Linked DNA regions of Neodiprion lecontei. The protein of the gene in region 1 interacts with the protein of each later gene in a pairwise test. Links are inferred from orthologs where the notes say so. Each region holds a gene or a part of one and is shown on either strand. Other genes may lie near its edges.

Evidence for each region.
Region 2: the proteins of RCC1-like G exchanging factor-like protein (region 1) and nucleoside diphosphate kinase 6 interact in binary tests that used the Homo sapiens proteins (3 or more experiments, as listed by UniProt). The link is inferred for Neodiprion lecontei from reciprocal best matches to the Homo sapiens genes RCC1L and NME6.

The regions. Positions count from the first base shown.
Region 1 is NC_060264.1:18,405,833-18,423,558, reverse strand, and holds RCC1-like G exchanging factor-like protein, read right to left. Parts: upstream 10,771-17,726; 5' UTR 10,580-10,770; coding exon 10,471-10,579; intron 9,886-10,470; coding exon 9,625-9,885; intron 8,535-9,624; coding exon 8,249-8,534; intron 6,833-8,248; coding exon 6,660-6,832; intron 6,418-6,659; coding exon 6,256-6,417; intron 5,518-6,255; coding exon 5,390-5,517; intron 4,797-5,389; coding exon 4,665-4,796; intron 4,656-4,664; exon of another isoform or gene 4,581-4,655; coding exon 4,503-4,580; 3' UTR 4,048-4,502; downstream 1-4,047. Other genes in the region: uncharacterized protein LOC107225508, read left to right, coding at 1,035-1,254, 2,119-2,255; CD2 antigen cytoplasmic tail-binding protein 2 homolog, read left to right, coding at 12,133-12,289, 12,841-13,004, 13,586-13,766, 15,066-15,250, 16,221-16,338, 17,116-17,372. UniProt on the Homo sapiens protein: Guanine nucleotide exchange factor (GEF) for mitochondrial dynamin-related GTPase OPA1. Activates OPA1, by exchanging bound GDP for free GTP, and drives OPA1 and MFN1-dependent mitochondrial fusion. Plays an essential role in mitochondrial ribosome biogenesis.
Region 2 is NC_060260.1:28,968,960-28,982,677, forward strand, and holds nucleoside diphosphate kinase 6, read left to right. Parts: upstream 1-7,139; 5' UTR 7,140-7,332; coding exon 7,333-7,410; intron 7,411-7,716; coding exon 7,717-8,020; intron 8,021-8,200; coding exon of another isoform or gene 8,201-8,216; coding exon 8,217-8,404; 3' UTR 8,405-8,719; downstream 8,720-13,718. Other genes in the region: sperm flagellar protein 2-like, read right to left, coding at 452-730, 868-1,239, 1,349-6,352; uncharacterized protein LOC107220398, read right to left, coding at 9,285-9,445, 9,569-9,708, 9,933-10,232, 10,313-10,871, 11,174-11,207. UniProt on the Homo sapiens protein: Major role in the synthesis of nucleoside triphosphates other than ATP. The ATP gamma phosphate is transferred to the NDP beta phosphate via a ping-pong mechanism, using a phosphorylated active-site intermediate. Inhibitor of p53-induced apoptosis.

The DNA.
Region 1 (17,726 bases):
CAAGTGAATCGCTGTTTCGCAAATGGAGATTTATGAAAAAATGCGTGCTAATTTTGCCAATACGCAACCATGTATCCACATATACGTTTTTCATACTTCTACGTTATCATTCTGGTTCTAAAACTCCTTTGTCTTCACCTAAACTTTAATCACAACTGAAATTTCAGTCGAAATATGCGTTTCAATCCTTGATGTGTCTATTACTAGATTTTTCAATCGATAGAAATATATGGAGTAAAATTCAGCATAGAAGCTACAGTCGAAATGCGATAGTTTGAGGAGATAGTAAAATAATAGTGAAACTTACCATAGATGTGTCAGTGAGTTCAATAAAAGTTGTAGTCGAGTTAAAGTTTATGTCGAATTCGCTTGATTTTTTAATGCAACTCATGCATTAGTGTATAGTATATGTATACACGAATATAAGTTAAGCTACCATTTTTGTACCGTACATTCTACAGTGGATTTTTCTCTGTGGATTAGTGAAATTGTGGAAGCTCTTTATAATAAAACGGTAACCATGAAGCCATTTCGATTCATAAAGTGAGACAAAGTGTTGAGAAAACATTAATTTCAACGTTATTCCCAGTTATACGTCACAATTGTCATACTCCTTGAAAATCGTGTAAATGAGATTTTAACGTTACTTTACACATACGTAAAACAATAATTTTCTCCCAATGCTTAATTTAGATAGTTTAACTCATTCGCTTTAATATGAAAATATTGACTCAAAATGCCTTTATTTCGGTAAAGGAACACTTCTTGAACAAGTTTGAGATGTTTTGGACATGTTTCAGAAAATGAATTTTTTTTCAAAATTTGCGTTTTTCCGCAATGTCAGAATAATTCTACAAAATAAACAGTGGCAACGAATTTGTAAAAACATTTTACCCCGATTTGATATACTTGAGAGTTATTTACAGAAATTCGTAGAAAACGAAAATTAGTGTACAAAAAAGCGAATGGGTTAAACCTCGCATCATGCAACAATAACCTCAACAGTTACCACATAATATTTGATTGATGCATAGGTTCAAGGTGCAGGATGGGGATACCTGAATGTTTGTACATCGCGTTCGGTGGTTCAGCCAAATTCAACTTCTCCGAACGACGTAAGCTGCACATCAGTGACAACAAATACGCACAGCATCAGCATATCCTGCAGTGGCGTGGATCTCATACACAGATGTCAGCCTCTCTACTTATCTGTGGCAGCTAATGCTTCGGATTCAGTATCATACCAATGCACAGGTATATTTACAGTACCTCTAGAAAATCCAAAGCCATGATGAATATTTTTCCATCGAGTATACCACGAAAATCAGACGCGTTTAAAGTACGAAAGAATTGGTCTGAGTAGGAGAAAAAAGCGTTTAAAAATTTCCAGAAATCTAATTTTTGCCGATAATGGTGAACAGAGATGCAATAAAATCCTTAGTATGTAACAGAAATAATTCAGAGTAAATTCGAATAACAGAAGTTTTACGGTATCAACAATTTCAGAGATGAGTTTTTTAATAATCAAAACGTTGAAAATGATCAAACTCTGGTGCTTTTGATGGAATTATAAATATTTCAGGCCTAATTCATTTACCATAAATATATCCAGATATCGCTTGAAAAAGTTTCACAAATAGTTAGCTTCGAAGTGGATAAAGAGAAATTTTTGAAAGCATGGTACAATAAATCTTCGTCAAAGATTACATTTGCTTTATAACTATAATATAAAGTAAGATTTCTAGAATATTTTTCGAGAATTTCGGAGAATCTGTTCGGTGAGTAAAATGAACTCAAAAACATTAGAATCGGATCGAATACATTCGAGTTTAAGCATTTCGTATCTTCCAGTTGAAGAACTTTTTCGCAAATTGGTGATATCTTAGCTGGTGTTATTTGAATTTGCTCATCATCATTTCTATAACATAATAAAAATGTTGTTTGATTAGTGTTCAACATTATTAGCGCAAATAACACTGCTGGAGTTTTTTCAAACAGTCTTTTCTCTTTTTATTTTGACCAACAAAATGCTCGTTATCCAGTGCCATTCAAAACGCTGGTATTTTCTGTATTCTACAATTTAACACACGAGCGTATATCTACATAAAAATCTTTCAGATGCCAACGTTTGCCGTTATCCGGACATGCGCAAGTTCACAATATCGTACGACAATCTTGTATGCCGAAGCAGTGCCAGCACTTTCTTCTTTGCTCCATTGGTTCTGGTAGTATCTTTCATTATCAACTTCATGTAATATAAGTGTATAGAGTTAAACGCAGTTACCGAAGTGATTCCGTGTTAAAACGGTCACGCTTTTTGTTAATACATACTACGGAATTTTTACGCTATTCGAAGATAACATTGTATCGAGTATTTGATGGAGAAACATTTGCGCCAGAGTTTTCAAACATTTGTTGTATTTACAGAGTTATCGCAAGTTTTAATCACGAGGGAACCTTTTCTCAGTGCATAAGCATGGCTTTTTTCGGTTCATACGATAACTTTTAGCTAAGAATTTCATTACAGTACTGAAGTTAAATTAAAAAAAAAAAAAAAATCGTCGTCATTCAGTTGTAAACGCGATATTGTTGGATGAAGATAAATTTCAGGGTAATATTTATTTTTCTATCTCCAAGCTGTAACGATTTGGCTACATTCTCTGAACAGAATAGGAGGACAAATATTTTGCATTTCAGTGCAATCAGCTTTCCAATATCAAAAACTTACTTACTCTTTAATACTTGACATAATAATTAAATGGCTACTACAGCGATAAACATTAAATTTTAGATTTTCGTAAGATAATTAATCTCATGATGAGATAGGATACATAAAACTTGAAACTATACTTGGGCTGCCGGATTCTGATCATTTCTCAAGTGGAAAACTAAATTCGGATTTTGAGAATCTAGCAAATCCATTACACAACTAATATAGCCTAGTGGGAATTTGAGCAAAGAAGTTCCTTTGAACAAAAAGTTGGAATAAATTCATAAATATTGTAAATATTCTTACAAAAGTAATCGTATTCCCCGGTGAGCAGCGACATGGCACATTTTCAGAGCCTTGTATAAAACCATGTGATCATTTCTCCAAGAATTATTCATTTAAAAATAGAATCATCAAAGTAAACGTCTGTAACTTGTGTATGGTCGATCAATTGATTTGAAGTTGAATTAATGTCACATTCAAGTTCAACTGTTCAAAACGAATTCAAAGTCCTCAAAATATTATAATTATGGTATCTTGCAGAAATGCGATCAACACTTTGGTTCTGAAAAATGAGAGCAAACATGAATTACAGATCCGTGAATTCTCCCTCAATTGCTTGCAATCTAATCTGATTACGCAAAGGAGTCAGTATTTGTGAAACCAGGTGAAAGATTTTTTTTTGATATTGAAAATGGCGCGTCATAGGAATCAATTACAAATATTACATCATCATCAATTTTACTGAATTTAAGTTTAGAAACTAACATTTCCAAACTGCATCACATTTTCAATTCACAATTATTGATCTGTGTCGTCCCGGTTTTATAGTTTTCAAACCCAGTTATTTGATGAAATTTGAGTTTTCGAAGAAAATGAAATAATAATATCAGTATGTAAACTTTGACATTTGCATTGGTTTGCTGAAGGAAAGTTTGATCAATTTATTTGAACTTGAAATTTTTATTTTTTTTTCATTTTACCTATATTTCACTAAGAAAGTAGATTCTTGATAAAAAAAAAGCAAATAATCGCGTAGTATTCGTACTAATAATACATTTCAGATTGCACCCAATTTTTATTTTTTTTTTCCATTGCATAGTACTTAATGAGATGTACTTAGTGAAATGAGAGTGTTAACGTACAAATTAGTTAATAAAAACAGGAAGAAGATTAAAAAAGGAACAGTTTCTTTGCCCTTATTTTGTCTTTTATTTATTTCTGTAACAAAATACTGACTAGAAAAAGTTCAGTTTAATGGGCTAATGAAGTATCCTTATTTACGAATCAGGGCTGCACAATAAAACAATTAATCATACATTTTTTTGAAATTAGTCGATTGATTGACTCTTTTCATTGATTGTTTTTCTGAATAATCGATTGTTTGGCATTCTCAATTAATCATTTTCCCTATTAATGGATTCATTAGAAACATCATTTAGAGTTTTCCCGATTAATCAAGTAATCAACCCTTTCAATTAATCGATTTTCGATTAATCGGCCATTTGTTTATTGAAATTGATCTTTTCTTTTTTTGGATTAATCGACGAATTAGATAAAAAATGAGTTCAAATCTGCGGTTAATCGATTAATCGCGAAGCTCTAGTACGAGTTAAGTCTGTATTAGCTCTCCGGAAATAATGAATTATTTCCTTCTTTTAAATAGACATTACTTTTTACAATCCTACAATTGGCAAATACCGGTATCATTATCGAGGTTCAACTCTTAATATTCATACACACCTTGTGACAATACGTAAAAATATATTTTGTTCGTTAGGAAAACACTGCTTTATATATAAGGTTTACATAATGTGACTGTATGATCGACGCCGCAAGAAACTTTTTTTACTTGAGCACCTACTGCTACCTAGAATATAATATATATAATTCATGTGACAGCAAATAATAAAGAATGTCATGAAATGTATGACACTGTTTGACATATACTTACTTTCAATGGAAAGAACTGATCCTCGATATTCCCAAGTCCTAAAGATCCAAATTTGTTGCATCCCCACATATAAAGGTCTCCATTATCAGTCACTGCCGCCAGTTGACTTATACCGCAGTATATTTGAGAAACCTGTGACAAGGTAGAAAATTTTTTTTCTATCATTGCTGACTATTATATTTCTTTAATCGAATAATTCAGTAGTAAATTTTGTATGAAACATCGAATTTCAATTTCGCACAGTCATCACTGGTTGAAAAAAATAATTTCAGATTTTGGTAAAGAAGCTAAACTATCCAAAAACACTGTCTTCAAACTTGAAGTAAATCGGTCGGACCGGTTTTGAAATATCGTGGGCCCCGCAAAACATGTCACTTAGCTAAATGGTTGACGTTATTGTCACTAACAATGCTTCCAATTATGTCTATAGTAAAAAAAAAAAATATGTAGCTGAAGTTCGATCTACACACGTTTCGATAAAACAAACTCCGATCGAAATGAGTGGTTGGTTTTCAAGATATCAATTCCCAAAATTCACCCATTTCTTTAGCCGTCTACTCATCTATAATCCATTGATTTCGATGAAGTCTAGATGACACTGAATTTCAATTGTGGTCAATCCAAAAGTGTATTAAAAACATAATAGCAAACTATCATTGCTTAAGAATAGAATTTCATGAATGAATTTTGTGAACTGGGGGAATTTTAGGCAAATTTCTACTGACCCGATTATTACGGCTATACGCGTTAAAACCAAACAGAGTAGCCGGAATCATTGTAGGTTCTTTTGCTCTTTGTACAGCAGGACCAACTCCAAGAATTCCATATCCCCATACAAAAACGTTGCCATCACCTAGGAATTCAGATCAACAAGAAAAATTTATGACAAAAGAGTAAGGAAACATAATCCGCTACTTATTACAGTAAATTGTTTACTCAAAGAGATTTGTCACTTAAAAATCAAGCCTTTGCTTCGAAGGTTCATATGGTCAACACGTTCGTAAGCTATGATGATTTTTCTAGGAATGCAAAATAAAAAACTAGGATAACCATTTTTCATCTCTAATCGCATTAAGATGCTGAAAAATCTGATATATAAATGCCACATCATTTTGCGAACGAGTCATTTTATGTAGAAGGTAATTTTTCAAGTAAAGTCCAACAATTTTTGTTTTACTTATCAAGTTGATATTGTTGAATATACAATTTTCCAAGATTCCAGTGGTATCGATTTTGATCAGGAAATAGCAATACTTAATCAATAATTGAGAATAAGACAAAATTTGTTTCACAGAACTGGCAAGAAACAGTTTTCCAAACAAACCAAGCCACCATGACTTCATGGAGTGAAATTGAACGAGCCTAGTAAATTTTTCCACCATTTTAAAGCTGTTTCCAGTGAGAAATTGATACTTAAACTGCTGTTCATAATTTTAGTCACACTTTTTCAGCAATTTTGGAAGCATCACCGTAGCATCCGAACGTGATAATTTGATAAAAACTGTACGTGAGCTGATCTCGTAGTAAAATTAGTAAAAAAAGCATTGATTTTTAACCGAAGGTATTTGATCGATTGATTATATATTCTTACTGTTTAAAACCATGCAAAAGCTTCCGCCTGCAGCAATGTCTACAACATGTCCCAGGGAGCGACACTCTTGGATTTCTGTTGCAATGTTTATTTGGTGATTATCAACCAAAGATGGCAACTGTCCATATTCCGAATTACCCCATCCGAATACTGTGCCTTTATCTACCAAAATTATATTAGAATGTTAAAGCTGCTGAAGTAGGGGAAAGTTAACTGAATTATATACAGAATTTCGCAAGCAGATTAGACGTCCAGGTCTTTCAAGATTTTCCCCAGTATTCTTTTAGTATGGGAAGTCTCTTCAAACAAATTTATGTAGAATATCACATCAATATATGACGTCTGCGATTTGTTTAATTGGTTAAGCAATGATAATAACAAGTAGTTTTTTTTTTATAGCATACCGCTAAGCGCCAAGACACAGTCTGCCATACAGGCAACTTTGACAATATTTTCACCAGCCAAGTCTCCTTTCACTAAGCTCGGTTTGTACTCATTTCTGTAATGTGCAAGACCAGTTTGGCCATCTGCACCCCATCCAAATGTATAAACTTGGCCTGACTCGCTTAAAAGAATACTGCAGAAAACAAAGAGTAGCTTGTAATTCATTGATTTATAGATTATCAAGTTTTTAACGCTAACACAATGAAAGATTTGGAAAAGGTGCCCCTATTTTGCAATGACTTTGAAGATGTTCAGTTCTTAAAATTTCGAGTATATTTTGCTTCATTACAGTTTACCGAATTTCTGACATTTTCAAGTTTGTGAAATGATTTATAAAAACACTCTCACTGCATCATCATCATGAACTTCAATCTCGTTCGATATTTATGTTAACATTTCTTTATGTCCTAAAAATGGAGCAGGATTCGTTTTTTTTTTTTTTGTTTTTTTTCTAAAGATTTACCAGTTTTATAAAGCTCGTACTGCAAACTCCACACATGGCTAAAAAAACTTCCACTTCTCACCGTTAGTGCAAAATATACCATAATCAAATGAACCACCTTTTTTCATTCAAGAAATGTTTTGCTTTACGAACTTTAAACGTCGAATGAATGATTTAAATTTGAAAAAAAAAAAAAAACATATTGTAAAGTAATAATTGGTTATTTCATGCAAAATATATGAACTAGAATGATACAACATGTCGTTTTGTACTATTTACATTGAAAATGTTATAAAAGATAGTGGTCAACTTTGGTTTATTATCTTTTACCGAATTGAATTTAACGTAAAGTTGCAAAATGAACATTTTCGTTTAGAAATGCATTGTTAGAATAATTCTGTGAACTTTAGCCTCATCTTTCTTGGAGATACAAGACAAACCGAAATTTTATAGAAAATGCTTATTGCAAGTCAAAAAATTTATGGAATGCCCATTGCCGTGTGCAGATCCAAAAAAATGTAGTGATTGCCAACAATGAGTAAATATCAGGTTCAAGTTCATAATGTTAATATAGCCATGTATTTTTAGGAAAAATCGTTAATTTGCAAGTTTAGGATTCTTTAAATTTCGTTAAGTCATACAATGAATATAAAAATACTCTCATACTTTGGAAACTTAATAACACCTTCAGTCACTTTTAATTGAAAAATAGTGATTTTTGTTTCTCAATGTTTCGTTACATTAACGTTACTAACTTCAATCTTATTTATCTTATCTTATCTTCACTGTTGTCTAAGGTAACGAGTATTATTTAAATGAAAATAAGATTATTCATGTACAAATTCATTTGATGAGATGAGAAATAATTTCTCTCGTAATTGTCTCTACAAGTAAGATTATCGTCATTTTAATGTGGTTAATTGAGTAGACAATAATAAAAACGGAAAATTCTTAGTGTGTTGAGAAAAAAGAATTGTTAATTGCAAAAAATATTTTTTTGACGGCAGCGCAATATCTTTTTGTTCAACGGTTATCTGAGATCATTCTGTTAAAACAAATGATCAAAATAACTTATGACAGTGCTGATTGGTAAATGCTATCACGTACCTGTGATCTTGGCCTGCTGTTACAGATTTTATGCGCTCCCCTTTGATGTCTGGTATATGATGAACTATTGTATTGTTTGTGTAATCTTCATCGACAATTATTGGTCGTCCACATTGACCATAACCATTATTTCCAAGTGTAAACAGGCCTTCGGTTGTTAGAACTAACAAATGTGCACGACCAGCAGCAAGTCCAGTTACTTGACTGGACGGATTTTTTAATGGCAGATGTATCGGCTTTGGGAGTGGAACAACATTTTGAGGATCCTTTGCTGCTGCATCATATCCTGAGGAAAGAATTGGATCAAATTTAATCAAAAGTGTGAATCAAATCGAATGAAGACTGCACTGAAGGCACCTTTAAAATCTGTCAATCCTAGCAATATTTGACTAAAATTTAGTCTGATCTTTCCGAAAATGAAATCCATTTTAAGGCTGTTGTCGGGAACTGTTCTTTACACTTTCAGTCCATGTTTGCGAACTCCTAAGAATAAATTTTCTGCATTTTTTTAATGTGAAATGGTAAACATTATAGAGTACATTCTGAGTTGTATAGTGGAATGGAAATGGCATCGTTTATAAAACATAATAAATATTCGAGGGATCATGGATTTCCTAAATATATTCTGTATCCCTGGAATATTTTTAATGATTTAATTATGATGTAATTCTAAAAACTTGAGGATATACTCCAAAATGTCTGAATTTGAATAAAGAAAATAAATAAAAATCCATTTTTGATCCGTCATGTATATACGACTGAAAAGTTGAAAAAACCTATGTTTTTTTGTCACAATTTCAGAAGACCTATCTCAAAAATGATTACATAATCATAAGAATCAAACTTTTTTATGCCAAAAGCACAGTAGGTCGTATTTTTTCTCGACAACAGGCAGTGCTGAAAATTCAAAGACGAAGGTTCAATTTGAAATTGTGGAATTCATTTGTTTTTACCATTTGACTTGAGTCCTACAGCTTTTTCAAATGAAAGGTAAAAGAGAGGTGTGGAATGTTTAAATAAATCCGATTTTCAACTCCTAACCATTGGCTACTACTTGTAGAATCAAGTTACTGTTTATGATAAATGCCATCGAAAATATAACGCAGAATGTAGATTGATAGTTACCCACGTATACAATCAGTTTAATATTTTTGTCCCAAATTTTTATTCATATTGCACAAATGCGTGCACGTGCCATGTTGCAGATATCCCTCTTTTACAGCATCTGGGTTAGAAGTTGTGTACAAAGATGCAACTTCCAATTATACAATATTACGTTATCTGGTCGATATTAAATTTTAACCAACTTATGGAATCTACTAAATGATATATCTAACATTTATTGAATTTATATTTTCATCTTCACGTTCATTTACCCAATTGAGAATCTGTGTTAATTCCATTTCCCCAAAGGATGTTTCCATCTTTCGAGTCAACGGCAAAGACCGTAAACCCATAACCAGATTCGATATCTATCACTCGATGCTGTTCTGCAAATCGAAGTCTGTTCGGTTTGTGATAAAATAAGAACTTCTTGCGCTTCGCGATCGGCGGTTGAAGTCCCAAGGCTCCATGACCAGCAAGGCCCCAAACGTACACCCTGCGGTCGCTACTCTGACTTACTGGATATTGAAATACTGCAATGCAAAATTACAGAAAAATTTTCAGCATTATTTATATTAAGACATTAGATGTCTAAGAAATATTTTTTTTGCTCCCACCTGAAAAACTAGAAACATCCTTTTGTGAAAATAATTTATTATAAGTTGTATGTATCAGATAGGGGCAAAAAAAACTTACTCTCGAAGAAACCACTACAATTTGTGTACTACAAATGGTCCGAATTTTAACATTACGCAGAGTTTATTAGAACAATTAAATGACTGCGATAAAGATATGCTAAAGCGACGTGAAAGAGATTGGAGTGAATTTAGCCTGCATTGTGTAATGGCAAGATTTTCGGGAATTCTCATGTCTTATTTCTGTTTACACAGTACAATACGAAACAACTTGTTAATAACGCAGTCAGTACCAATCACTCTTAGAGGATTGATATCATGTAACGTAAAATTCAGGGTACTTTTTAAGTGTCATCGGTGTTATTTTCGTGAAATCGAAGTAACTCCAGTGGAGTCACTGTATCAGGCAAATACACATCGCCAATGTTGTTATTCATTATGTCACATTTGTTTACGGTAAAAAATCCCTAGAGTGATCGTTACCTGGCAATTCGTTTGGTGGTGGGTTTGGAGATTTTGTATTCGTTGCTGTCAATTTTTGGCGGACTTTTGGAGAAGATAATTTTGAATAATTTCTGACTAGCTTAAACATTATTTAAACTTTTGTAGCAATATTTGAAACGTGCCGTACTAATTATGGCATAGTTGAGTAAGCGACTGTTTTGCACGGTTGTCTGTTGTTTGAGGTTAGAGTTTCATCTGCGGTAACACCGGTAACACTTAATCACGGAGCAGTCGGCAGGAGACGACACTGAAGCACCGTTCGGCTCAAACGTTGGACTAGTTTTGCGGCAACGTAACTTGTATGAGGAATAGTCACGTTGCGATTGAAGCGCCTCTTGCGGGGTAAGCCCGTATAGCGCTCTCCCCCCCCCCCCCCGCCCCGTCCGGTATCTTATAATTCGCCGTTTGCCACCTTTTCTTCAGATTCAAATGTCAGTTGGAAAAGTAATTACTCAGTTTTCATTCACTTCAAATGCGTATTTTACGAATTTACGGAGTATGTTTGTAGCACGGATGTTCACAGGTTACGATCGCCACCCTTCACTTTTTACATTTTCCTATATTTTAGGCATTTTGATTGGTTACCTCTGAACCATGATCCGTGCCGCGGTGCCTAACCTTAGAGCATATAGACATAGAGGATGCATCGACGCTAAAGAAAGGTCCCCGAGCCAGTGAGCGAGAGAGATGTCGTAATGCTACATGCGCTCTCTTTCTACAGCAAGAGCGTACCTATCGTAATTGAGTGCCTCGAGCATTGCGTTGAAATAATCCAGATTATATAAATACATATTATACATTGGTGCCTGGTAGGTCAGGTTATTGAAACAAACAGTCAATAATATCAATGTTTAGCATATTTTTAAATGCAACGATACAATTTATAAATGTGGAATGGGCATTTTCGCCGAAGTCTGATAGAAACGCGACGATTCAACGGCTTGATTTAGTAACAGGTACATTTGGGGACAATAAGACCGTGTAGACGGCTAATTTTTTAAACTTGACAGTTATGTTGGCAACACAGAGAACCCTTGCAGCGCCATTACTACTTCTCTCTCTATACCATTTTACGCTTGCACGAAAGGGTATACTAGACTTCCTCCATAAAATGTGAATTCACCCTAAGGAGATAGCCAATTCGGACGGTCTTGCGCTCAAGGGTGCGTTCCGAAATTAGCTCTCAGCGCTAAAAACTCGGTAGCGCAAAAGAGATAAAAGATTGTTGACGCACTGGGAGTAAATTATCGAAACGCATCCAAGCTGTATGCTGCACGTGAAAAACCAGCGTATATCTGGCAGTCGTTGTCGGACTACGTGATTCTTAGTTAATGAAAGAATGTTGTGGGTGTTTGGAATTTTTTTCGTTTACTCACTTCACATGATTCAGAAGTTGTAATATTGTGCGAGAGATGGTCAACAATAAGTATAGATGAACAATTCAACAATATCCGTTCTTCTGCGTGACTGAACGTCCGGATGAAAACATTGTCACCATCATAACACGCTTGAACATTATTCTTATATCATCCACCACTATCTCATAGTTGAAACTAACCGCATCAAAGCAATTGACAACTTTGCAAAGTCTTATGATTTATTGAATAACATCAATCGTTAGGAAAACTTTGAAAGAATAACATGTCTAAGCGTAAGCTCGAGGATGTACTGAGTGAAGACTGGAAGGATAGTAGGGCGAAAACAGAACCGACCGTCAAGAATTCTTTAGACTCTGATGAGGAGGACGAAGAAGCCAATGAGGATAATTACAATGTCATGAATGAGGATGACTTTGAAGGTGCGCAACATTGCCATTAGTTTACGAATCGCATCCAATAATTCTATTTAGTTTAATAGTTCAATAGACTTTAATGTTAAGGAATATCCTAGAATAGGATTCAAAAATATGATACAAATGATGATAAATTGTGTCTGAATTCCTCTCTATAATATGCGAGATTAAAGTTAGTAACTTTAATGCAATGAAAAGTTAGAAAAAAAAAACAAATATAGCAACTTTGAAACAACTTTGAATGAGTCAAGTTTACAAAACACGAGCTTCACACTGGCGTCGTTAAGGTTTATATAATTTGGAGCAATGCTAATGTTGTAATTCAACAAAGTTTCTTACAAAATGCATCGTCACAATAATGTGATGAACTTCAAATTTGTAATATTTGTTTAGAATCTTTTGATGAATGTTCTGATCAAAGTCTTTCAGCAGGGCCACTTTTCCAGTTTTTCTCTCATATTGTCTATTTCATTCAAATTAAGTAGTAATAATAATTATATACGATTCTTTTCTAAATCTTTGAAATTCGTGTTCACTTGAAATCTTTTATTATAAAGGAACGGAAGACGATCCCGTAGCAGCAGAGACAGATGTAGGCTTCACAGCATTCAATATGAAGGAGGAATTGGAAGAGGGACACTTTGATAAGGATGGTCATTACCTCTGGAACAAGGAAAAGCAGATCAGAGACAATTGGCTTGACAACATTGACTGGGTTCAGGTTGTTAACACTGCTCAAAAATCAAATTCCGCTACTAATGTATTTATTTTGTTAAAAATACTCTATTCTACTCGACTATTATACAATGAGATTTTTACGAAAATATCTTAAGTTGGAAAATTAATACAAGTTTCGAATTCATTAATTTTTTAGAAAATTCGTAATCTTACAACGGAACTTTTGAAACTGTGAACTGTAATAAAGCTAGTTGTACTCGTATTTTGCAATGATTCTAAATTTTTTAATGTTATTAACTTCAATCTTATGCAAAATTTAAGTTTTATGTTTGGCTTTGTTACGGTTCATCAAATTTCAGACAATGTTAATGGTGCGAAATACCGATATCGAAAATAGTGACAAACTATAGCATCATGGAAACTCTTCTTTTTATTTGTGACTGCAAAATCAAAAACTTTATAAGGGAAATAGAAAGCCAAAAATGAAACGGATCTTTCAATTATACTTTCATAGTTCTGTGTGAAACGCATAATCATGGCAATAATAACAACAACTAGTTTGTTAATAATGTAAGCTCTGATAATAATAAAAATAAAAACAATAATGCCTAAATTGGGTTACAGATTAAATCTGGGGGACGCGAAGGTACAAGCAATAAAACAAGTGACAAAATCAAAGGATTGGCGGACAGCGATAGCGAGGATGATGAACAAGAAGTAATGTTTGACAGCGTGCCATTGTACAAAAAAATTCTCGAGTATTTGCGTCCTGGGGAAACTGTATCAAAAGCACTTCGCAGACTAGGTAAAAACTAATTGATCAGCGTTTGATAATATAATTTTTTGCATTCAAGGGTTTATTGAATATTGTTTTGACAAATTTTTTTTAGTGTTTCTAGTAAAATCATTGTGGGATAAAACAAACCCCCCCCCCCCAAATCTCTCCACCCACCTAATAAAATGAATTAAAATGATAAACTAACTCGATGGACAAAAGAGCTTAGCTTTTTTGCAGTAGGTATGACCAGGTGATAGTACTTCCAGCCCTCTACAACTTAGTTTAGTTCGTTAGATGTTTAAAGAGAGAAGACAGTGTAGCGATGGCCACTAAGCTAAATATAATCGATGTATCGATTAATCGAGTCCAAAAAAATAATTGAATAAGGCTCGATGGAATCGGTAAAAATTAATCGATTAATCGATTATCTCGAAGTTTGCTGAAACGGTGTATGTGAAACCAAAATTCCGTAAATTTCAGTATATAGTCTTATAGCTATAATAGCGGAAAAGTTTTTTCAGAACTTATAGTTTCATTAAAAATATTTTTCAATTTAAGGTGAAAATATTCATTTATTTTTCACCTATTATATCAAATAGGTACCTACTAAGTAAGACAATGATAATAATTCATACTTTAATCAGATAAATTAATATCATATTGCATCATTCATGGAAGTAAAAAACAAAAACTGATTGTGAGGATAAATAACTGAGTTGGTCGCTAATCAAGTTTGCGATGATACTTGATAATCGGGATACAACAATCGATTTAATACACAATCAATTATTTTTGGTCATTTTTAAGACGGTGGCAAATTGTCATGCTAGACAAATGTCGGAAGTAGTGAACAATATTGAGGAGGAAAAGGAAACGCATGAAAAAAAATTATTTAAACAAACAAGTAAATTACTTCACAATGTATTATGTCTAAATAAGTAGCAGTAAATTATAATGAATTGAAAGTGAAAAGTCACGTATCAAATTCGAGAAAAATTTGTAGAGAATTCAAAGCTTATGGATTTCTTCGAAGTACGGCCCACCATCGTTTTCTAATCAAAAGTAGAGAAGTATTCAAACAAATTGTGTCGCATCCCCGTCGAATAGTTGGATTTTATTTCCAAATTATAATACAAATTGATTTCACCTATTTTTCGGATTCACAAGATATATACCTGGTTGTTGTCAAAGTTTTGATTCAACACATTTCATGATAACAAATACAGTAGGCATTTCTCGTTATGATTTTACCTAAAAGTTGCTGTTTTGATGCAACTGACAGTTCTTCGTGCAGTATATTCACCTATGATTTTCCATGATATTTAGGCAAAGGAAACAAAAGAATGACCACTGCAGAACGATGGAAAAAGAAAAAAGAAGCACAAGCCGGTATAGAAACTAATGAAAATGCTGAAAAAATAACACAGTTAACAGAGTTTGCAAACGAACTTTTGACACGGACCGGTAACATGGATATATACGAGGAAAGTTATGAACAAATTAAAAAAAAGGTATGCACTGTTTTTATAAGTATCCTCAGTAAGTTTGATTACTTAACATGTAACTGTATTTATTGCATTGAGAAAACACTGCATGTAAGCCATTCTATACCATCTTGACTTTTTAACGTATTACATTCTTTAGCACAAAATAATTATACCATTTGGATCTCTAACTAAAACATTTGCCGTCGCAAAAACCGATGTATTCATCATTTTGACGAATTGCAACAGGGAAACAATATAGAAACCCCTAAAAGTTGACAAAAATTAATTAAAAAGTTAGTATCCTAAATTTCCCAAAAACCATGTTTCTTTTCTACTGAAAATTCCAAAGAACACTCGATTTGGTCTAAGAAAATATGTGTAATTTTCGTCATGGGTTCAGATTTAGTTTGAAAGTTATGAATTTTTTTTTTTCCTTCATAATTATAAAAAGTATTGTATCACGTTATGTTGTCATCAAGTCATACGAAACAGCTCTGAAATATAGGTATTAAATTATTATATTGAACATTTTTATTATATACTATATACGTAATATTTATATTACAATAATCATAATTTATACAGATAATAGTAGTAATAAAAGTAAGTTCAAACTAATTTCAACTCCATGCTGAACTTTGCACTTGTTTATTTACACTACATAGGAGTATCCTTCGAAATTTAAATGGGTGTCAGGTTTCGAGAAATGCAAGAAACTTATGTTCATTTTACCAAGTTTTGTAAACTTGTAGGGTTTTTCATATTTTTTTTGCATGTTATAATTTTCAAATTCATTCAAAACAGCTTGTTATTTTCTTCAGAATTCTGTCGATCGCTGGTCGAATTGGTATGAAATGCTTGATTTGTACAAGACACATGTGTGAAGTTAGACTCGAAATTGTTCTTATCCCCATTGAGTTTTTGGAGTAAAATTCAATACTCATCCTCGCGACGTACGTTTTCGTAATTTATATAATTTTTTGGGACACTGCAGATTGAGACGAGTGGGAAACAGGCTCATCCATCGAAACAGGAAGCGGAATTGGATATGTACTCCGACGATTTTGATGTTAAAGAAAAAGCCAAGCTTGACGAAAATGCAGCTCCTGGTGGTAAGTTCTCATTGAGTTATGTGTAACAGTGCCAATTATTACATTTATTCAATATAAGTAAATATCGAAAATCGATCCTAAACGAGAATATCAAAATGCTAGACATAGATTCAATATTTATAAATTATTTAAAGTAATTCTCAGTTAATTTAATTCGATTGTTTTACAATTACCGTTGAATTAACTGCATTTGCAAGCTCATTTCAATTTGAAGATAGAATAGTGTAATATACACTAATTGTGAGCAAGTATTTGAGGTCATGCATCTTTCTGTGGCAAGATTTGTAAACCTTTGGGCGGTAATTAGGCGTAAATTATAAGTATAATATTCCAACAGGTATTTTTTACCTCACGATACGAAATTTTGTTTTCATTTCAAACAGATCTGATGAAAGTATAATTGTATTATGATATTCCACGTTTCTTTAAGGAAAAAAAATTACCCCTGAGAATTGTTCTATTCGAGACAACATCAGAATTAAGATTTCAAAAAGTATTCCTGAAAATTAGTATGTAAATTATAGACGAGGTTGAAGTTAATAACGTTAATGTAACGAATCATTTAAACAAAAATCAGTTTTTGATAATTATAGAATAGTTTTGGGGGATTTAGATTTTCAAAAAAAGACTATGTATTACTTTATCGTGGTTTGATGAAATTCGTATAATCCTTAAATTCGGAATACCTAGCATTTTTTTTCCAATTTGTATTGCTACATTAACTTTACGAACTTCCACCCCATAATTACAGATTCTAATGAATGATTATTTTTGAAGATTCGTCGGCGATGGAAGTTGAGAAATCAAAAGCGAGTTCGACAGAAGTTAAGCAGGATCTTGAAGAAGACATGGTAACATGGGAGCTGAAGTGGTCGCAGAATGAAACAGCTGAGGTTCACGGACCTCACTCAACGGAGCAAATGCAAGCTTGGTCCAAGGAGGGATATTTTAAATCTGGTGCTTGGGTACGACGAACTGGTCAACAAGGGCAATTTTACAGTGCAGCGAGGGTCGACTTTGAATTATATTTATAGTATGGAACGCTTGTGACTTGATAAGTGAAGTATAATTTGCAGGGAAGTAGAAAGAGAAAATAAAAAAACGATTTACCTAATGCTGCTTTTGATATTATTCAGAATCCGATAAATATGAAGTGATATGAAATGTACGCATATCGTACGATATCCATTTACGGCATTGTTAACTAAACAACATTTTTTTCTGTTTCAAATCGCCAGCAGTGTTTGTTGAATTTTTTATCCCATAATTATTCGCAATTTAAAAATAAGCTAAATACGTGGTTTACGCAAGTGATACTGTGCTTCGGTTATTAATAGAATAAAAATTTAAACTTAAAAAATTGACAGACAGTACATATTAAAACGCAA
Region 2 (13,718 bases), on another chromosome or scaffold:
TGTGGTTGCGAAATAGACCTGTAGATACTGAACAGAAAAAGAAATGAAATTTTGTTGCATCATCTTATAGTATATAGGTTAAAATATTTTAAATATGTAAAATGATAGTGTAAAATAAATTACCTAGCTAGTCGTAAAACGTACTGTTTATTCATTTGTAAAGGTGTTTTAACACACTCATTTCTGCACACGATTCATTGATATATCGAATTATTATTTCAGAAGGCTGCACGCCACCCAGAACTAACATCATTATGGCTACAATTATTCTTGATAGAGCTGATTTTTACAAGTCCACCGATGATTCCAGGTTCTTATCATTCATCACGAATCACAAATCCGTTAATAAATACATTTACAGGTATCATGACGCAAGTCATGACTTGTATAGTCACGTCACGTTTACTAAAGGTAAGTGGTGCACTTTGTTAATTATTTTTAACATCTCCAGTCAGCAGTTGGTCGTCTGTTTGAGATTATATTTCTTGTTCAACAGATCACGAAGGATGTTGCCAATATTTTTCATCGTGAACGTACTGGTAGAGCTTAGCAGGTTTGTGATAAACCCATGGTTCACCAGTCGGTGAGAAAGAACGTAGTCCTGCTCATTCCTGATTTCTGTATCTAAGAGATCGGCGTAGACTTTGTCCAGGCAATCACGTAGGCACGAAGTGGTGCCTAGGATGTCAGGTTGCCGTGCATGCCAAGGTAAGGTAGCTAAAAGTACTGCCTGTAAATGAAAATGAAGCATACGTTATTACGACGCTTCGTTGATCTTCTGTAGCTATATACTGCGTAATCTTCGGTTACAGTTACAGACCCATTAAATTATTGACGATGAACATTAATTTTCGTTTTATCTTGTACCTGACAAGCTTCCCGAGGTATCCAATGAATAACGACGGGCTTGCCGATGATGCCCAAGGATTCCTTGCTGTATCCTTCGGCCAAAATGGTCGATCTTGAAATTTCCTGATCGGATACGTACTCATCAGATGCTTTGCTACCAGGCGGAGGAAAAGAATAAGGGGTCGAGAGTACTACATTAGGTGGTAACAGTCTGGAATTGCCAGGTGATACTGAATTCGTATACTCGATACTAGTATTCCGCTTTTGCTGAGAGGCGGTTGATTCGATTCTGTCACTGTGGTCGTCTAGGTTGTCAACCTCTGAGATCGTGATACCTTCTGTTAGCTCCAGCGTGTTTTTCAAGACATCGCTTATAACGTTTGACACGTTCTGAAAGAGTGTTACGTCATCAGAATAGGTCGACCCGACCGGGTTACACGGTTCGGATAAATTCAATCAATTCGTCACCCGCACCGAACAATCCAAGTGCTGAACTAACCTTTTCGGCGGCTTCCCATTGATCATTTCTCATGGCCATTTCTTCGGCAGCGAGGCGTTGCTGCTCTAATAATTCGGCAACGAACTCCTCGCCCTCTTTTTCGGATACACAAATTTTATCACCGAGAACTAGCGTCAGTGCCTTGCCGAAACCTTCTCTTGGGTCGTAATCTTTGCAGAACGCCAGAAGAAACGCGGTGTAATTCACGTTCGTGCATCCCGACACAAACATCTCGCATAATAATTCCTTCGCAAGCATTAGCCGCACGGTTTCCTGCGGAGTAATATTACGGGAGCTTGCCGGAAATGTACTATCAACAGTGGAGTCGTTGCTGTATAGTGACCTTTTCGACTCAGACGGTGTTTTTGGTAAGATTAATCCGCAGGTCTTTTCGATCTTAGCGTATTCTCGTTCCTCTTCGTACATTTCCTCTTCGTTACGTTGATAATCCTCATGGAGGAGATTTTTGCAGGCCGGATCTTTCAGGTCACAATTTGTGAACCAGTATTTGATGGAATGAAATTGATCCCTGGTTACCATCTCAGACAGGGTTGGGTCCATGGCTATAAACTGGAACCTCATATCTAGGATATCTTCATCGCTGGGCATCGATATGTCCATAGCATAGATAATGAATTCCCTCCAATCGACGTACTCCGTATCTCCAAATATCTCTGTAACCAAGTATGGGACATCGCAGGGACGCAGTTGTGACCACAATGAAGGTAGATGGGATATTACACCTTCGTCTTCGCCGCAGGCGATAATGTCCTCGAGGATATAAGTGAAAAAACGTTGCGGAAGACTGCCGTGGGGTGCCACATACCGGAATATATCCATCAGGCGACCAAGTTGTCCCATACGAAATTGTGAGGGTAATTTTGCTTCACGTATTGGCTCAGGAGGAGGAGTTGGTTCATCCGGATACATCAGAACGCTTGATCTGACAATGAAGCGGTCCTCGTCCAACAGTAACTCTTCTTGAATTGGTATTTCTTCTTCGATTGCCAAACTAAATACTGATGCCATTTCGTTTACGCTCTTGATCTCTCTGTTGTAGCGATCGTTGGTGGCAGTCATTACGTTGGAAAAACATCGCTGCATAGTTTCATAGAGAAAACTGATGTCTGATAGAGCAGCGTTCTCTAACAATTTTAGTCTGAGGAGTATTCTATTTATTTCAAATTGCAAGGCAGATCGCCATTCACAATACAAATCAGGTCCTCGCTTGAGAAGTTCAGCCATTAGTTCGGCATCAACTGTGGGTAGTAATTGATTTTTGGCCATCTGGATTCTACCTTTAGCGTCAGGGGTAAAGGACGTTTGTTCTTTCTTTAAACTTTCTAACAACGATAGCGCCTGAGAATCAACGACATTTCGTGCGTACATGATATTTGCATGCACCGCTTGGTAGCAGATAATTTCTCCGGTAAGGTGAGGTGTTTCCTCAGCAGAAATTAGCAATTCAGCAATCTGTTTTTTGATACGAGTACAGTCGATGATAGGTGCTTTGTGTGGAATTTGACTAGCAACATTTTTGCCAGTTTTCGATGACGCTGTTTCCTTTGCTGCAGGTTTTTTGGCTTTTACAAGCGATACAGTTGACGAAGAAATCATCAATTCGTTTGAAATTATTTCCAGTCTTTGAAGAGGAAGTTTCGCTAAACGATTCTCGGAGATGGGTCGTTGTAGCATAGAAGTGTAATAATCCTGAAGAAGTTGTACAGTATCGATGTATCTATCTACTTCAGCTTCAATCATGCATATGTAGAGATTAGCCAAGACGACCATTTCCTCAGCTGTCCAATCCAATCTGATTATTCGTTGCCTTTCTTCCTCAGCCTGTTTTCGTCGTTCGTCGCAAATTTCCCAAAGTGCTTTCTGAAAATCGGCTACTCTACAATGCAACTCACACTTGACATCCAAGTCATCGCGCATGTCCATCGCAATATCATTATAACTCGTATGAAACTTGTGTAACAAATCTTGCTTGGAATCAGGCCGTTGAATGAAGTCTGTCATGTGTTTAGTCACATAGTTTCGGTAGGGCACAATGTGTGAGTACTGCACTCTTTTTATAAAGAATATTTCTTTAAGGTCCTCAATATAAACAGTTTCCATATTTTCCCATAGGTTTGCTAAGGCCTCCAACAGCAACGGAGCTTGAGGAAACTTGATCCATTCCCAAACATCTTCCCCGGGTTTTGGTGGGGTCGGTTCGACAGTTACTGTACTAATAGTGTTGTTCAAATAGTTTGCACCTTCACCTTCATAATCACTTTCTCCTCCCCAGTCATCGTTCACCGGTTCAGGACAGGGTACGAACTGTTTGACTATCGGAGTTTTGCTCAAGGGTGGGTTTGCCTCTTCATCTTCTAACGAATCCAAAGCTTCGCCGAACAGTTCAATAGATGGAACTCGTGGAATTGACATGTCTCCAATAGCGAGTCTACATAATCTCTTCAGCGTGAATAGATCGAAGGATGTGTAATAAACTGCATAAGCAATGCCTTGAGTAGTATAAAAGGCATCCAATGGCGTTGTGTCTTCCGAAAGTATCTCAAAAATGTCTTCCTCGCGTATGTGCATATTTTTAGGTTTTGGTAATGCTCGAATATAAGCCGTCATGTAAGAACTCAATGATTCCCTGCGTACGTTCGGTATTGGATTGTAGACAAGTCTAGATTCTCTGCAAGAACGAGAGAACTCGCCCAAGTTCTCATCTTCGTACGTTATCCTTGGAGGTACCTGGTTCAGTTCATCAATATCACCGTCAAGATCATCGGATATTTTTTTATCCTGAGGTATTTTAATACCTGTGAGAGCCGACTCAAGTTGTGCCATCTGATCAAAAGTGTTGGGATAATCAATCAAAACCCATCCTTCTATGTCGTTCAGACTCTTCATGTATTCGATAAGGATTTTCGTGTTCAATTCATTGGACAATGGCTGGCCCAGAGTGAGAAATTGATAAACCCATTTGCCAATGTATGCAGAATTCGAAAGATCCGGAGACATATCTTCATTTGGAATAACGCGAGGTGTCTGCGTTTGCTTATCAACAATGCGTGTAGTCATTTCCGTTGTTTTTGAAGGTCCCATAGGTGTTGCCTTCTTCTTAAGAGTAGTGTTTTTGTTCCCGCGTGAAGTTGGGTTATTTAGTGCAGTTTTCGACGATACTTCGTTCTTAGACGTTATGGCACTCAGATCAATGCAAGAGAAATCCTTCATTTCGTCTTTGAAGCATCGTAGGCAGTAATTTATTGCATCCTCCATGAAAATGAGTTTAATACCTCGGTGATTCAGCAATGACTGTATTGTTGGATAGACAGATGTGTCCAATACGCCGAGAAGGATGCAAGCTGAGGATACCTTGGGCACTGAAGCAGGCTCTGGCTTTGACTCTGGGGGATACACGTAATCTAAGAGACGATGGACGATGTAGCCAAGTACAATAATCCCAAGCCTGAGTATTTCCTCGGTTTCCAAATCAATATCTGGCATAAATTCGTCCCAAGGTGCGCTTACGTTCAAATAATTGTCGAAATCAGCGTCATTGAGAACCTCTTGACGCTCAATTTCTGCTCTGAAAATATCTTCTACTTCATCTTCAGGGTTTTCCTCACAGAGATATTCGATATTGTCAATTGATGAAAAAATTGGTTGACTCTTGATAAACAAGGCTTTCCATTCTCCCCAAATCTTGGCCGGAATAAAGTTATCGTTGCTTTCCCGATAAATGGCTGCCTGCACAGCGATGTCAATGAGATCGTTCAAGACATCATTACAAATAAGGTAATTCCTTTCGTAACAATTTTGTATTTTTCGTTCGTGAATTCTTCTATGTAATTCACACAGTCTCGAACACTCAGCCTCAATATCCTGACCTTCTCTGACGGCAACTTCATGTTCCCTAGCAAGTTCTATATTGTGTTCGGTCCTCATTCTTTCCTCCATCAATTTATTAACAATTCCTCTGTTCTTTGCGATCCTTTGCTTTTGATCTCGAATTTCGCAGAGTTTGGTCATCATTTGTTTTTCGTACTGTGACTGGGAGAACAATTTCTTGGCGACGGCTAGATCAAATTCAGTCTCTTGGTTGGCCACTTGTTTTTCCCACAATTTCGCCGTCAAAGATTTTTCCATTTGACTTTTACATCTATAGCTCTGCGATGCTCGCCGCGTTCGATCTTTCATACATTTTACATACGTCTTAGCAGCCTCCGGATCAGCCGGTGCTGGCTCCATTGCTTCACCAAGTTTTTTCTCGTTGCAAAGCTCATGATAGGTATATTTTTCTGGACTGCGTACCTTGTGCTGGCAACTAAAGTTGTGCAACTCCTGTATTTCCTGCTCCGGAAATGGTCGTATATAATCCATATGAACCTCACTTTCTTTTTCCATGATGTTCTCTGTTAGTATTTTTTCGGTGGAGTGTACTTGTTGTTGCTTTGATACGCATAATTTTCGGGCAAGTATGCACCTATTTAAGATTGCCTGGAATTTGTCGCGGTGCCAAGCGATTACGCTTGCATTACTTACAAGCTGGCCAGCAAGTGGATTTTCCGAGCATACTGGAGGCGGTGACTTATCTGGGACTGTGCTAACATCAAACTTTGACGACTGTGGAATGAACTTTTCTCTTTCTTTTTGTTGGGTAATAAAGTGAAGCTTGTCTTTACCCTCCAAACTGACGAAAATCTTGTAGAAAAGTCGTGTCGCTGTAGTACCCTGTCCGTTGGATATCTCCTCGATGGTATCATCGTCGCAATCTACCCCGATAAACTTGAGCCACACGCGAAGAAGTTTCAGATTAACCCTTGCTAAGGCTGGGTCCTCCGTGCTATGTATCGTGCTGATCTGGGCGTTGTCAATTATGTCGTAACTGTGAAGAAGCTGAGCTAGAAGAGTACCGTCTCTGGTAATTAAACCAAAAACGTCTGGATGTAGATCGATCATTATTCCTAGCCTATTTTGAAACCATGTTTTTAAAACTTCACTCATTTTCAACACTGCGCGGTAAGTTACGAATTCAGTATTTACATTCGCGGTCGCAGAAAATTTTGTTACTGTTGTGAGACGACCAATAAATAACTTTTTGAATAACTATAAGTGCTGTGGTGATATTAATTCATTGAAGTGAAACTGTATTTGATTACATCGATTTTGTAGACAATTTCAAGCCGTACTGGGTGTATTTTCCTTCTATATAGTTGACATCTTCAGTACATGAGAGATGCTATGTTTCATGAGGATTCAAATGGCTAATGCTAAAAGTATAAACATCAATGCTCTGCGACTAGTCTTATGATATTTTTTACTATTTTGATTGAATGAAATATCGGACTTGAAAATTTTAGCAACAAACTGACTCAAAAAAGGTTGGTATAAAAATGATATAAGTATTTGAGATGTCTCTTCTGAACAATTGGTTGGTGAGTTGATCCTACCATTTCTATCCATCCGAATATGCCAATAGTAGGTATGCATGCTCTGGACCCGTGCGCGTTTGGTTGCCAGAGTTTACTGCGTCAGGCGCAAGAAATTTACAATATTCTCTGGTATCATACATAAAACTTTTATCGTTCATTTTTAATAAGTGTTTTGAAATTTTCAATGCATATGGAACATTGATATTCAACTCAACAGTAGAGTAAATACTAGTACAATGGGCAATTCCTTCGTTGGCTGTTCCTTTGCCAGTACCACGCCAATACAATATATCCTAGTCCGGTTTCACTATCGTTGCGCCAACCGCGGTCAAAATCGAAGTTTTGATCGGAGCCCGCGCTTTGCGGCATGGCGCGGATCTTGAGCGGCTTGTCAGCTGTTGGCTGTGGCAATTGTGTACCATTGTGTATGGTAGACGTCAAGGTGCTTACCTTTGCCAAAAATGATTGGGCAATGAAAAATTCGAATATCTTGACAGTAGTGCAGTAAGACTTAACGTCATCTAAACTTTCGGGTGAATAAAAAATGCTGAGATGAAATCAAAACAACCTCTCCAACTTACACTAGCAATACTAAAGCCGCATGTAGTTAAATCTCCGTTTGTTCTTCAGGTAAATTACTATCTAATTTCAAATGCAAAAACGTCTGGTGTGAGAGATCAATTATTTATATCAATATTGCGATCATATTGAGTAAGCCTCACCTCAGAATGCATTGAATGTCATCATCCGTCGTGCACCTCCGCAAAGAACCTAACGTAACCTCAGTGAAAGTAAATAAAAAAAGTCGTCAGATACCTTGGTGACAAAATTAAACCGAGTGTGCCTCAAATGTCAAAAGCATGGCTGTAAAAAAATGCGAACTACTAGTGTTGAGATCGGCACGTGTGTTGTATGAAAAATTCTTTCAACTTCCAGAAAATTCGTGACTTGATAATTGATGAGGGTTTCAAAGTTGTCAGATCTCGTAGAACGATAATAACACCAATGGAGGCAGAATCGTTTTATGCAGATCACAAGGAGAAATTTTTCTATAATAGATTGATGACCTTTATGTGCAGCGGTCCTTCAGACATCCATATTCTGACAGCTCATGATGCGATAGCTAAATGGAGAACATTGATGGGTCCAACAAAAGTATATCAAGCCCAATTTCATGCACCTCATACTATCAGAGGGATGTATGGACTGTCAGATACAAGAAATGCAACTCATGGATCAGGTAATAGCATGAGAGAACTTTTATGCTTTGTACATAAGCAAAATAAATTCAAGAATTTCTGAATCCTTATACTTTCCAAGATTGAGCGTCTTATGAATTAACTTCAAAGTACATTTCTAAGATTATTAGTGTACTAGTCCGCAAGTAATTCAAATAGCCCTGTGTAAAATTCATTGATAGTGGCCTCATGTTTCAGACTCCCCAGAATCATCAAAACGAGAAATAGCCATATTTTTCAAAGAATTCAACATAGAACACTGGTTCAAAAATGAAGAGATTTTTTACAATTCAGGAAATTTAAAATTTGATCCATCTTTATTCATTCATACCATTGACAGAACTAGGAAAATAAACGAGAGTGACCAAGATACAACAATGATTTGAAGTTTAAAATTAGCAGACAAACGCCTTAAACTTTTGTCAAAAGAGATAATAGAGGCCCGTTTCATGATCCATAGTTCTATAGAAGTATCAGGGGTTCGATGTATTTGAAAAAAATTTCATTGTTGGGCTTCATTATCTTATTTCTGTAGAAAGTATCATGTTTGTCTGGTTGTTTCAGCTTTCTGTTCAACCATGAATGCACAATTCACCAATGATATATTTACCATGATGTATTGTATATAAGAATCATACCTTCTGATAGTTGATTATGTAGATTATAAATAAAGGTAAAGCAGCAATGAAGTAGGTTGTGAATTTGGTAGTCATATTATTTATCCTTTCGAAGCTACTTGTTATCGTTGCACTTACCTCCCATGTACCTGAATCTATACTTCATGAATCAAGAATGGCACTAAAAATTAAAGATTTTACTATATTCAATGTAGGAATACACGTTGATGTTAATATTGAATGGGTATCGATTCCTGTTCTATGTTACACTGATCAGATCACTGGAAATTTACAAAACACAGTCATGCAGTAGAAATAAAAACATATGTTTTTTAAAAGAATAATTTATTGTATTTTTCTTTTGTACTTGAAATCTTGATGTTTAGTATTAGATCACCCTAATTTAAAACAGACTAGTTAATTTACATGCGTCAAACAAATATTTACAAATTATTTCCTGGATTAAATATTTTTGTTCAAAACAATTCAATCTGCTAGATGCCTACAATATTTCTTGAATTATTTAAACGAAATACAAATCCTTCCATACTATAAGTCAGACATATTATACAATATACACAAGTTCTGCAACGCATGATAATGTGTACCAAATTGATAAATGCACCACAAATCACATGTGATAAAAACTTCAAGCGTTAATTTTGACATAGACTTTTGGTCTCGAAAATACTTTTATACCCTCTTCTATTTTATTGAGCTGTTTCTCAATTTCCATTTTTCGTTTCTGGGATCTCAGAGTGTCAGTTTTTATTGGCATCATATTTAATTCCTTAACAAATTCTTGATAGTCTGCAAATAATATGTTAGTATGTTGTAAATAACATGTTAGTATTTCATCGTTCGAAATGATGTAATCTTTTTATAATTATTCTAACCACAGTTAATAAACAGCAAGTAGCAGCAGGTACTCACTTTTTTTCAACATACGGAGGGTCTCCTGGCGTTCACTGTCAGGCAGCGGGACGTGGCCATCTGGACAGTCAGGATCTGGTGCCTCTTCTTTCGCCTTTTGTTCTTTTTGCAGCTGTGCCTCTTTCCGTTCTCGAAGATATCTGTAAGTAGAAAATGTCCATTCAAGACAAGATTATGAACTATCACGATGAAAAATCAAAACCGAAACAAAAAAAATAAACTTAAAATTAATTCTAGAGTATGGAAGATTAGTTAAAATTTTCAACCTATCCAAAACTGAAGCAAGACAAAAAAAAAAGTAACGAGTCTACTTGCAGATAACGAGTAAAAGTAATGAAGAGAGAAGTTACTTTTAACATCATACTTGGGAACAACACCCTTTCGATAATGAGTGGGAGGTACGCCATTGTTAAGCTGTGTAGCCATTTTGGTAGCAATTGATGTTTGCTGTTTGTTCAATTTAACAAAATCCGTTCCTTCCTCACGGGACGAATCTAAGTGCAGATCAGGTGATTTGGGTGAAGGAGATGATGGTGTTGAACTAACATCCCCACGATCCGAGGGAGAGTTAGCACCTTCACGTGGTGTTTTATTATTTTGTAGTGCTACCTCCATTGTTTTGCACATAGCCAAATCCAGTCTAGGACTCCGTCGGGTAGAATACCTAAATAAAAATTATTGTTCAGAAACAAAGTTGCAAAAAGTAATTGCAATATCTTTCAAGCAGGCCATGAACACTAGTACCTAATTGTACCCTCGGCATACAAATTGCTCATGTGTTTAGCATCCAAAGTTTGAATTCCCTGGCTTCTATATTTTACTTCAGTGTTACTATTGCAACAATGCCCACAGTTTAGGTTTGGGTCTGAAGGAGCCTTAGTCATGTTGCTTTGCAGCTTTTTATTCAAAACTGCTTCACGAGTTTTTCTCTTGAGTATAGGACTCTTTGCATTACTATGCAGTACCATGAATCCCTTCTGAACTCCTGCTGTGGTTTTACTTTGCAAAGTTGGGGCACTATTTTTGGAATGAGGTTGAGCCTGCGACTTGGATTTTTCAGGACCATCCAATTTCTGTTTAGCAGTTGATGTGCATGTTTTATCAGAAAAGTCCTCATCTTTAGCTTCACGAAGACTGGAGTTCACCCGCGATGCTATGTTCTGATATCGATTAGACGCTTTTTGTTGCCTTCGAATTTGTAATTTTTGTAATTCCTCAACTTCCTTGTGATTGTGAAAATAATGCTCCATTCGCCGGAGATTTTTCACATTTTCATGTATGAAGTTTTTTCGCCTGTTTACTTCTGCATTTACAAAATTACACAAGTGCTATTAATTTCAAAGAATAATAAATGTAACAATACTTTTCAACATGTATATTGTGCTGAATATTGCCATTGATCAACTAGGTCATCGTAAAGTGTGATTTTAATAGTATGTAACCTGACTTAGGTATGGGTGATAACTGCATAACTGACGATAAACTTCAACGTATTCGAAATTGTTCAGGAAACAATATTAAGTAGGTAGAATCTTAAAATAACAGAAGATAATTTGTAAACAGCTTTCCTTAACAATATCAACTAGAAAAGCTGTCTGGACTTACTGGGTTCGGGAAACACACCTTTCAATGTCGCCATTTTCAACGTAAAATCTATAACAATTGTTTTGTATGCGGAAATATCGTTGATAAATCCCGGTGGAATCTATAGGTAAACAATTAGACACCGAATCGACTCGAAATTATTATATGAAACCTGAAGTGACTAATTTTATTCTAATGTTCGCACCAGGTATAATAACATACTTAATCGATATAAATTTAATTTATCTGCCGAAAGCAATGAAATCAAACTTATCACTTCAATTTTGCGCACATTCCCGTTTTCAAACAAACAATTTTGTTTACAAAGCAAATCATGGCCACTCTGACATTTCTGCTGACATTTTCAGTTGCTACGAATGTTCATAGTGCTGAAATCTAGAAGCTGCCAAACATTACCGACATCGTAGTCGATAAGTCAGCTCGTGTTATAGATGGCGTGGAAATGATAACTGCCACGCAAAGAACCAGCAACCTCCATAACGTTGACCGAGGATATAGGTATAAAGACTGATAATCTTGTGTTATTTTGCGTAAGAGTTTGCCGGGTTTGAGGGAATTAGCAGTTTCATATATCATCAATCAAGCAACTGACCACACCGGTAAAAGAAGTTCTTCATAACTAAGAACTATCGCGTACAAAACGTTGGTAACATACAGTCGTCATAGTGAAATTGAAAAGCTGAGAAAATCCCGTTCAAAAAACATCCGCAATTGGTTGGAGAATTCATACTTCGCCTCATGTCGCATGTTACGGCAATGCTCTAAACATTTGATCGCGTTATGCGTAGCTTACGCGGTGTTTTCACCCAGCCGCTAAGACCATAGAGATATATAAAACAAAGCGTAAGCAACGGTGTAAGCGTCCCGTGAACGGATTTGAATCGGTTCTCTAAACGACAGCAGATAATAATTCTAAACAGCAAGGCAGGCGCGTGCAGCTACCCCCACTCCATGTGAAGCGCGACAGCGCGAGGGGGGGGGGGGGGCGAATTATTATGTTCCGTTCTTCAGAAAACTGAGTTAGATTTCTTCCGAGCGCCGTGCAGCATCAGTCGTTTCCGAGCAATCGGAGCGAAATCACGTGCTCTCAGTATTGGTTCAAGATTCAGACCGCGTTGTTCAGGTGATGTCACGTTGTTCGATCAGTGTATTTCCACCATACTCATCTGTGAATAATATACGAGGAGCAGCGTGTAACCTGAAGGAAAACCGAGTTACTGAAATAAAAACATCCTGCGAACGTTGAAGGTGAATTTCGTGTCCGAGTTTTCATTGTTTAGTGTAACTTCAGATTACAGTGATGTCTACTTTTGTCTTTATGCGTGGAGTATCAATTTTTTTTTTTGGCTGATTTTCGGTAAATGCGCAATCGCATTGTTAGTAAGTTTGTTCGGTCAGTTCAAATAGACAGCTACGACAAAAAAAGTGAGTGTAGTATCGAGTGTTAGTGTTATTGCGGTGCGGATTTTGTGGATTATAAGAGATTAGTGAAGATCTAAATTGTGTAAAACGTGCGTCGCTTCACTAATAACCATGAGATGCTACAAGAACTACTACATCTAAAAGCGTGGAGCAGCCCAGAGTCGAGGTAACAATACTTATTTTAGTTTTGGTCTTGCATAAAATGCAATGCAAAAATATGAAACTAGATAACACTAATAATTAATTTGAAAACTGAAAAGCCAATTTGATAAATTAATTCAAGTGTTCTATTTTGTTTTTCAGAGATTTAAGCAGAGACTTCCGAGTAACTTTTTCATTTCTCGGCAACGTTGGTGAGGTTGCATGTGTTAGGTTACGGGTATTTCCCTGGGATTCCTCTGTCACGTGGCGTGGCGGTAGCAATTGTTACACAAATCTTCGATTTCTTAGCTTCATGGATAGGCTCATTCGCGATGGCAACGTGCTTGACTTTGTCGAATAATTTTTTTTTGGCATTTAATTTACCATAGCCTGCTTGAAGTTAGAAATTTTGCACGTTGCTAAAAGTGGAATGAGCATCGCGACAGGTAACCATCGCTTATTCGACACTCGCGAGGTCGGATTGCGTTTCGTAACTGATGTAAAAATCTACACTTGAATTTACCGATGTCGTTTAAGTGGTGGGTTCACCTGAGGTTTGAACGAATTCAATTATTTACATTATTGTTAAATCGATAATATTCCAAATTCTGGCATAACGTAACGTAATCAAATTGCATCTTATATTATATATCATTTTCAATCTTTTAACAGCCAACAAGTATTGATCAAGTGCTGGCTTAGTTCGCTTAGAAAAATGCTAATTGGTATACAGGATGTTTTAATCAATTTTACAAAAGGTTAATGTACCGATAGTCTGCTAGTATTTAATAAAATAATACATACAATACGAGGGTTGGCGGCATACAACCGCGATACTGTATTCTCAGTAGGCAGACTACGATACAAAAACATTTTGCTCCCAACAGGTAAACAACGAAAGTGTAAGTCAGTGACCACGGCGCAAATGATGAAGAATGATGTGTGTTGGAAAAAATGGAGAATCGTTTAGATCGAATATAGG